2 linked regions of the Kluyveromyces lactis genome follow. The main gene of each other region encodes a partner of the protein of the gene in region 2 in a complex. Links are inferred from orthologs where the notes say so. Each region holds a gene or a part of one and is shown on either strand. Other genes may lie near its edges.

Region 1 (3,523 bases), on a different chromosome or scaffold from region 2:
TCAATTGAAGAAAAAGAATATAATATTCACTCAACTGTATAGTTAGCTTTTAAAGATCTGATAACGATACCTTATATTACTTAGTCTTCTCGTACTGTTTTCAGGCAATTGTCTGTCTAATTGTAGGTAAAGTATTGTTTCTCACCTATTGTTTCCTCGATTTCATGGTTTTTTTTCAGAATGTATGCTGCTAACATTAGGAATTTGTCAACAGAATCAGTTTTATAACAGAAAGCACATCATTTTAAGGATGAGATCATGAAAGCACAATAGTGGCTGTAATCAATTGTCCAAGACAGTAGAGCACTCTGTGAACACAGCAGGTTATTGGCTGCTACATAGAAAATCAGCTGAATTTTTGACATGACTACTGGTGCTCTGGTGGCAGGGCACGTCGATGGTGAAACGATGACTGTCACTGGTTCTTCGGATAATGCAAGGAGAGACAGAGACAGATGGCGGAATGGTAATATTTCCAGTCAGTTTGTGAACGAGTTTGGCGAGTGGGAAAAGGATGAGAATGTGACGCAGTGTCTAAGTTGTGGGATCAAGTTTAGTTTTCTAGTGAGGCGTCATCACTGTAGATGTTGTGGCAGAATTTATTGTGCTACTTGTTGTTCAAAATTCGCATGGTATGATAAAAACCGGGTTAAAGTGGTTTTGAAAAGTCCAGCAGAGTATGAAATGGAACCGTACAGGACTTGTGATTCCTGCTATGAAAATCTATTACAAATGAAGCTACTGAGAACTGCGTGGGGTGAAATACAGTTACCGAAACCACCAAGACGAATCGGAAATTCTATGGGATCTACTTCCGAAATCAACTCCATCCGATCATCGTCCATAAGGCCTTTTGAATTTATGAAGAACCAAAACGTTGTGGAAAATGTACGAGAAACTGAAAGCGAGAGAAATAGTCCCAGGAATATACATGCTGCTGATGAAGATTACGATCGATGTCCAATTTGTAATTTTGACTTACAAGTTTTCGGATCAGAAGAAGCAGCCCAACAAGAACATGTAAGCGAATGCATACGGCAAGCAGAACTTGCTCAACAGCAGCATAGTCTTATCGGAAGTCCAACTTACCAGAACAGAATGCTCGTATACCAAATACCTAAAAACGCTACGAATATTCAAGAGTGTCCAATATGTTTCGAAGAAATGGCTCCAGGACAAAAAGTCGGTAGGCTAGAGTGCCTATGTGTGTTTCATTATCACTGTATAAAGAGTTGGTTTAAGAAGAAGGTACAAAAATTAGCTACGGTGAATTCCGCAACTCAGGACTCTGTCTCCATGCTTGGTAAAAACTACTGTCCATTTCATGACGCAGTATACTACTAATGTGCTTTTTAAGCCGTTTAATATCCAATACTAATAACTACCTAATACATAATTTGCATACAGCACAAACTTGCATACAATATCACATATATATATACCTTCGCTTACTATAAAAGCCACTTGCAGTTACTTGTCCGTCATTATCTATCACTTGACCTAAAGAAAGTCAAAATGTCCCGAGTGTTCCAATTTCTTTGGTCCTTTTGGTTTGCCTGCCAGTTTACCACACTACCCTCCTCCACTCCTCCTTACTGGCCTGGCTGACTGCTTAGTAGACGAAAAGGATGGCGAAAGACATGTGGGAAACAGGATGGCAACACGACACATATGAGAAACAGATGCGAAACACATACTTAACGAAATGTAGCTTTGGGCTGAAAAGAAATTAAAAGAGACTCTTAAACTTCACGTATGCAATGTAATGTATGAGTGATGATGAGATGAGATGAGATTAAGAATAAAAAGATTGTGGGATAACAAGCTACTTTGGGAGACGTACAATACTATACCGTGTGAGGTAAACTAACTTTGTGTCATGGTTAAGTGTGAGGTTTGTGGTGATAAAGAAGCACTTTATAGATGTCCAAAATCATCGGTTAGGTATTGTTCGTTAGTTTGTTACAAGAACATAAAGAAGTCAGAATCAGATAATGTAGAAAGTAATAAGACTGATCCAGAATCTAACAGTACTACCGTGAAGGAAGCCGATGATACCGTCTCAGTTCCTGGATCTCAAACTGATTCAGTCGAGTCGGTGCCTACTCCGCTTAATAAATATCAATACGCTTTGACTGACAGCCGTATCCGTGAGTTGTTAAGACACAATACAGTTAAATTCCACTTGGATAAAGTTTACAAGATTCTTAACGTCAGTACTGTCGGCGGGTCATCGGATGCTTCCATGACTTCGGATATGAAGCGTGAACTTGCCACGGATTATCTCAATACATTAAGGACGGGTGGAATTCATTGTAATGAGGCAATTGAAGAGTTTTGTCAGATATTCTTAGAATTACTGCGAGAACATATCTAGATTTGTTCTTCTCACACGTAAATTGCATATGAGAACTTATGTAGTTCTTTATTTTTAATTTTAATATTAGCATCAATAGCACAATGCCACTGTTCTCAGTTATCGGTCAATCGGTCGACCGGAAAATGTTTATATTACATAGATGCATTCTAAAGATTAAAACAGTATATGCTCTTTGGGCTATTGCTTATCTGTTTATACTAACCTATCTATAACGTGCGCTAATGGTACTCATTCGGCAGTATTTTTGCGTTTGTATTTCTTTTCCAACCTGCAGTGGGAATTGATCTTTTAGTCAGTTCCTTCGTCGATATCGCTGTATAGATCGCTATCAAGGTCTTCAGGAACATCACTATAGTTGTCCTCGCTACTTGACTCTTCCGAATCAGATGAGTCAGAATCAGAATTATCTTGCCCTGATTCAGCTTCTTCTCCATCTTCGCCATTAGCCGCAGCCTCTTCTCTGGCCTTTCTTCTCTCCAGTTTCCTTTGCTTCTTTGCTTCTTTTGCAGCCTTCTTTTTGGCAATATTTTCTTCCTGTTCCTTCTTTCTTTGTTCCTTTAGTCTCATCTTTTGTGCATGTCTCTTTTCCAAAGCTTTGATTTCCGAGTCAGACTTTTTAACATACTCGTGATGTAGGACTTTACCGGCACAGATACCTTCTTCGATTTTAACCAGTTTCAACGTCAATCTTGGTCCGATTTCTGTTAGCTTGATAGCTTTCTTTTTTGGTTGTTGTGTTGAGTGCTGTTCTTCCTCTTCCTGTTCTTCTTTAACGTTAAGGTCCTCCTCTTCATCTTCATCATCCATTTCTATGTCGTCATCACCATCAGCAGATAGCCTGGCTGGTTTTTCACCGGTATCCTTATTTACTGAACGGTGTGGTATATGCTTAATGTGTTTGTGCTCTTTGTCCATTACTTTAACGATGGCATCTTCTTCAATCTCGGACTCAGAAGTGTATGCTGCAACGTCGTGATCCAGTATTAACGAAGCGATATCGTCCTTTCTATGCAAATTCGGCACGGCTTTGCTTAGCTTCTGTTTTGATTTATATAACTTCTTCAAATTCTTAGAAAGATCCACCTCTCTTATATCTATCGCATAATGTCTTAACGATATTTCACCTGTAGTCTGGTCTTTATT
Region 2 (4,318 bases):
GGTCTCAGTGAATCAACAACGGGGAGCCAAACTCAAATTCAACTTAAATATAAGACCAGGAGCTTGGCCTTTCAACTACAGAATTGTGCTTACTGATGTGACAGATCAAAAATCGCCATGTACATCAAGGTCAAGTGACTTTCTGGACTCCATCATGCAGCATGTTTCAGACGAATCTGATTCTGAGAACGCATGGTCCAAGGCAACCGATTGGAACGAGGAAATTAAAGTTGAAATTGGCAAGGAGGATGAAGTTGTTGCTGTGGTAGATGATACTGCGCCAACGGTAGCACTCAAGCCAACCTCTGACCCCAGTACACTGAGCTCGTCCAAGGAGTCGTCTGTTTCTGGTAACTCTCACTCTCGTGCATGCATTTACATCAACAGTGACAGCGACAGCGACAGTGGCTATGATGACCATACTTTTATGGATCCAGAGAAGAAGCACCATCACTTCAAATGCCGCTATAAGAGAGGAAGAGGGAACAGATCAAGGTGGTCGACGTTTAGGGTGAATAAGGCTAAGGGGAAGAAATTTGGTAGAAAGAGAAGATTTGACTTATATAGTGGTTCATTAGGATTTATGTTGGGTTCCATTGGTACTTTGGGAGTTTTAGCTACTGTTGCAAATTTTGTCGAAGGATAAGTTTGGATTGTTCACCCAGCTGATAAATATCATTGAATGTTCCAACCCACACTCTCATAACAGTTTTTTAGAATGCTTTATTGAAGATATCAAAAGTATATATTTTGTTATTATCTATATTATATGTGATACCTCATGTCTGAAACCCAAATGAAACATATAAATGCTTGAAAACTTGAAGAGAAAAGGTCTTTATAAAGTGAAAATAGGGAAAGGAACTAGAATAGGCATCAATTCGGATTAAAAACTACACTCCCGGAGTGGTCAGTAATCCAACTCATGCAACTGAGAATGGTTGCTTCAAATAATGGAATGTTATCAAATCAAGATGAATCAACTTTTATTGATGAGCCCGCCATGAGCACTGATGGTACACAGAGAATACTACAAGTCAGTTCCCCCAAGATCGATACAGATAATCACAATATAGAGTACGAGAGTATTAAAAGCAAGGATAAGAAGAAACATAAGAAGAGGAAGAGCAAGAGGCATTCTAAAGGAAGACACAAAATGAAATATCGAGTTGACAAACCTCGGTACCACGATGATGCAAAATATGACGCTGATATTGCTGACAATAATAACGGAAAGGCATTGAATAAATTCTTCCCTGGTATCTTAATAGGAACTTTCATTGGTTCAGCTGTCACTAACTTTATATTGGAAGGGTTAAAGTAGTAAGCAAGATTTCCTTTTTCAAACCTCATCAATCGGTCTTTTCCTTGAATGGTTTCGGTATTGAGTATCACGTTGATTGAGTTGCCTATCATACCTCCTATTGGAGCGTCTATTCTGGTCATTCTTGTGATCTTTGCCTCCAAAGAGCACCTCTTTTTCTTCTTCTGTAAGTTCATATTTGAGATAATTGGCATCACCAAGTTCTTTGATGAAATCCAAGATCTTACCGTTTTCCTCTTTTAAGATTCTCTGATGAAGACCTATCGTCAAGTTTGGTTTATAATTAAACCTTTTAACTTGGTTTTGTATATTTTGAATAAAATAGCGCTCCTTTCTAGACTCCTGGAGAGGATTACGATTCAAGTCTTCGTCCTTGACGTTAAACTTTTCTCTGTACATTTCTTTCTTATTTGAAATCTTTATTAACCACATCTTCCTTCTCTCTTCTTTCCATTTTGCGATATCCTCCTCCGTTTTAAGCACTATTGAAGTTCCAGGTATATACAGATCTGATCCTTTGACGGTTTCTATGATATCTTCATCAGCAGAAGCTTCTTCTTCTTCTTCATCTTCTTCTTCTTTCCTTTTATCATCTTCATCACTTGCTATTTTATTCTCAACTAAAGCAGAATTCCTCAAATTGGTATTGGCGAACTTTTTGATAGGACCCTTCTTGGGTACTTCGATTTTGTCGTTTGCCTCTAAATTTGACTGTTGGTGCTCTATCACCTCTTCCTCTTCTTCTTCTTCCTCATCATCATAATTGATCTTGCTTGATTTTGTAACATCCACGTATGGCGGTTGCGCTTGATTAAAACCATACCAGCTCTGTTGATACTGGTGCGGATTCGGATAGAAAGGATGGTGGGTCCCATATCTCATTCCCATTGGTGCATGCTGCATAGCGGGGACACCGTATTGGTTGGGTTGATTCATCTGAGGTATCGGATAATACTGCATTCGCGTGGTTTGTAACGTATGTTGCAAAAGATTATTATTCACAGATCCGCCCTGTGAAGAGTTATTGTACACGTTTTGACCATTCATGTTGCTCGAATACTCTTCCCTGGGGCCTTTCTTCCCATCATATTCATTAATTGAACAGATAGAGATGAGATGAGATGAGATGAGATGAGATGAATAGATAATGAAAAGAAATTTCCTACGTTCACATACATAATGTTCTGGAGAAAGGTGTTGAAGTTTTAAACCGGTAACTGATGCTTCGTAAACCGTGAAACATATTCTGAAATATGTAACAGTCAAACAGGCTCATAAGGGTCCCCGCAAGTCATTCCACTGGTGCTATAGCTTTTACGCAGTGTCATCTATATCACGTGACCTTACTGATATACGTCTTCTTATTACCAATCATAAGAGAGACGGATTTTGACCAAGTTAACCACTGAGAGTAATCAGAAATCTATCCCCCAATATGTCGGCTTATAAGTTGGTGGTTATGCGGCCCCTCCATGTATGTAGTTTTATACCTCTTACTTCCATCAGCTGTGCAGTGGGTAGTCTCTCACCAACGGGTTTACCAGTGAAAATCGTATTGCAGCGGTGAATTTTTCAAGCTTCGAAACCTTGAAGACTTTTAAAGCTCAACAAAAATGTTTAAATGTTTTCAGAAAAGATTTAAAGGTACATTGAAGAACTTCTTGGTACTCGATCTGAGTTATTAGTTGGCCTCTCGTTTTCCCATTCATTCATTGTTATCCTTCTTTTTTTAGTTTGGTTTACGTTAATATTAACTCAGTAAATTATACTTCGGCAACAGTTTATAATCCCTGAATCATGTCCCAACCAGTACAGAGAGCTGCTAGTCAATCTTTGATTTCCAAATACATTAACAAGGAAACTTTAAAGTATGTCTTCACCACACATTTCTGGGGTCCAGTTTCAAACTTCGGTATCCCAATTGCTGCCATCTACGATTTGAAGAAGGATCCGGAGATGATTTCTGGACCTATGACGCTGGCTCTAGTGATGTACTCTGGTGTGTTTATGAGATATTCCCTAGCTGTTACCCCAAGGAACTTCTTGTTATTCGGTTGTCACGTTGTGAATGAAACAGCCCAACTTGTGCAAGGTTACAGATATTTAAACCATCATTATCTAGGTGGCAAGAAAGCTGACGCTACTGACGCCAATGTCGCCAAGACAGCCTAGATGCAAGAGAAAATGTAACCTGCCGACAAAACAACATTCTTTCTCCCATGGCTTAGATTACACTACTGTGTAGGTCTGTTATCTAAGATTTAATGCTAAGTTTATTTACGTACTGTATATTATATGTCTATATGTTCAATTACAGTTTATGAATTCATTTCGAAATGAAAAATAAAGTACTTCTTTCGTTCTTTATTATCAAGAGTCGAACAAACCTTTAGGTCTGTCAGCTTGTGTGGGACCCATGCCATCATCTTCTTCCTGTAGATTGAGATCTTCTTGGATTGCTTGTCTTTTCAAATTATTTAGATAAGCAGCCTTGTTCATTTCTCTTTGATGAGATTCATCTGTACCGACATTGTTCGATTCAATTGTTCCTCCCCATTCGACAGTTGTTCTCATTCTCTTTACTGGCTCGCTAATTGACGGCTCGGTTGTTGTGTTCGATGGTGTTGACTGGGAGCCAGTGTTTGAATTGGGAGTAGTGTTACTATTTTGTTTCCCCCACCTTTTAAACCTGAATTGCCTTCCTTCTTCGTCTTCGTCATCATCATCTGCTCCATCCTCATCCGTTATAAATAGTGAGCGTTTTGTATGTGGATACAGCATCTGCTTACTTTCCGGCCTTTGAAGCTTATCTGGTTTCACTACGGTATCCTTCTTGATTGGTGAAACTATCTTTTCTGGTGACAGGTTAAATTGGGTGACAGAATCCTCTGGTTCTTCGACCCTACCCTCGGTATCAGTTACCTGCACTAATTCCAATACAACCCCATCTTTTGTTATTTCAAAGAGAATGGGGTCACCAGGTTGGCAAAACCA

What was found. Proteins that work in one complex are often made in the same cells at the same time.
Region 1: the proteins of RSA1 (region 2) and HIT1 are in contact, whole or in part, in an NMR structure (PDB 2MJF), measured with the Saccharomyces cerevisiae proteins. The link is inferred for Kluyveromyces lactis from reciprocal best matches to the Saccharomyces cerevisiae genes RSA1 and HIT1. Residues at the interface, in NP_015131.1 of Saccharomyces cerevisiae: Glu320, Asn321, Ser322, Gln323, Leu324, Leu325, Asp326, Phe327, Ile328, Arg329, Glu330, Leu331, Gly332, Asp333, Val334, Gly335, Leu336, Leu337, Glu338, Tyr339, Glu340, Leu341, Glu345, Leu349, Phe350; in NP_012589.1 of Saccharomyces cerevisiae: Asn71, Lys72, Thr73, Leu74, Lys75, Thr76, Phe79, Tyr83, Leu89, Leu93, Asn96, Thr97, Lys99, Phe100, His101, Leu102, Ala103, Val105, Tyr106, Leu109, Asp124, Lys127, Glu128, Ala130, Val131, Leu134, Asn135, Arg138, Phe151, Cys152.

Annotation. Positions count from the first base shown.
Region 1 is NC_006039.1:1,271,852-1,275,374, forward strand, and holds HIT1 (Hit1p), read left to right. Parts: upstream 1-1,879; coding exon 1,880-2,377; downstream 2,378-3,523. Other genes in the region: PIB1 (phosphatidylinositol-3-phosphate-binding ubiquitin-protein ligase), read left to right, coding at 364-1,344; KLLA0_C14586g (Brix domain-containing protein), read right to left, coding at 2,669-3,523.
Region 2 is NC_006041.1:1,720,405-1,724,722, forward strand, and holds RSA1 (Rsa1p), read right to left. Parts: upstream 2,372-4,318; coding exon 1,343-2,371; downstream 1-1,342. Other genes in the region: KLLA0_E19295g (uncharacterized protein), read left to right, coding at 1-646; KLLA0_E19317g (uncharacterized protein), read left to right, coding at 926-1,324; pyruvate transporter MPC1, read left to right, coding at 3,122-3,496; DDC1 (Ddc1p), read right to left, coding at 3,695-4,318. UniProt on the Saccharomyces cerevisiae protein: Involved in a late nucleoplasmic step of 60S ribosomal subunit assembly.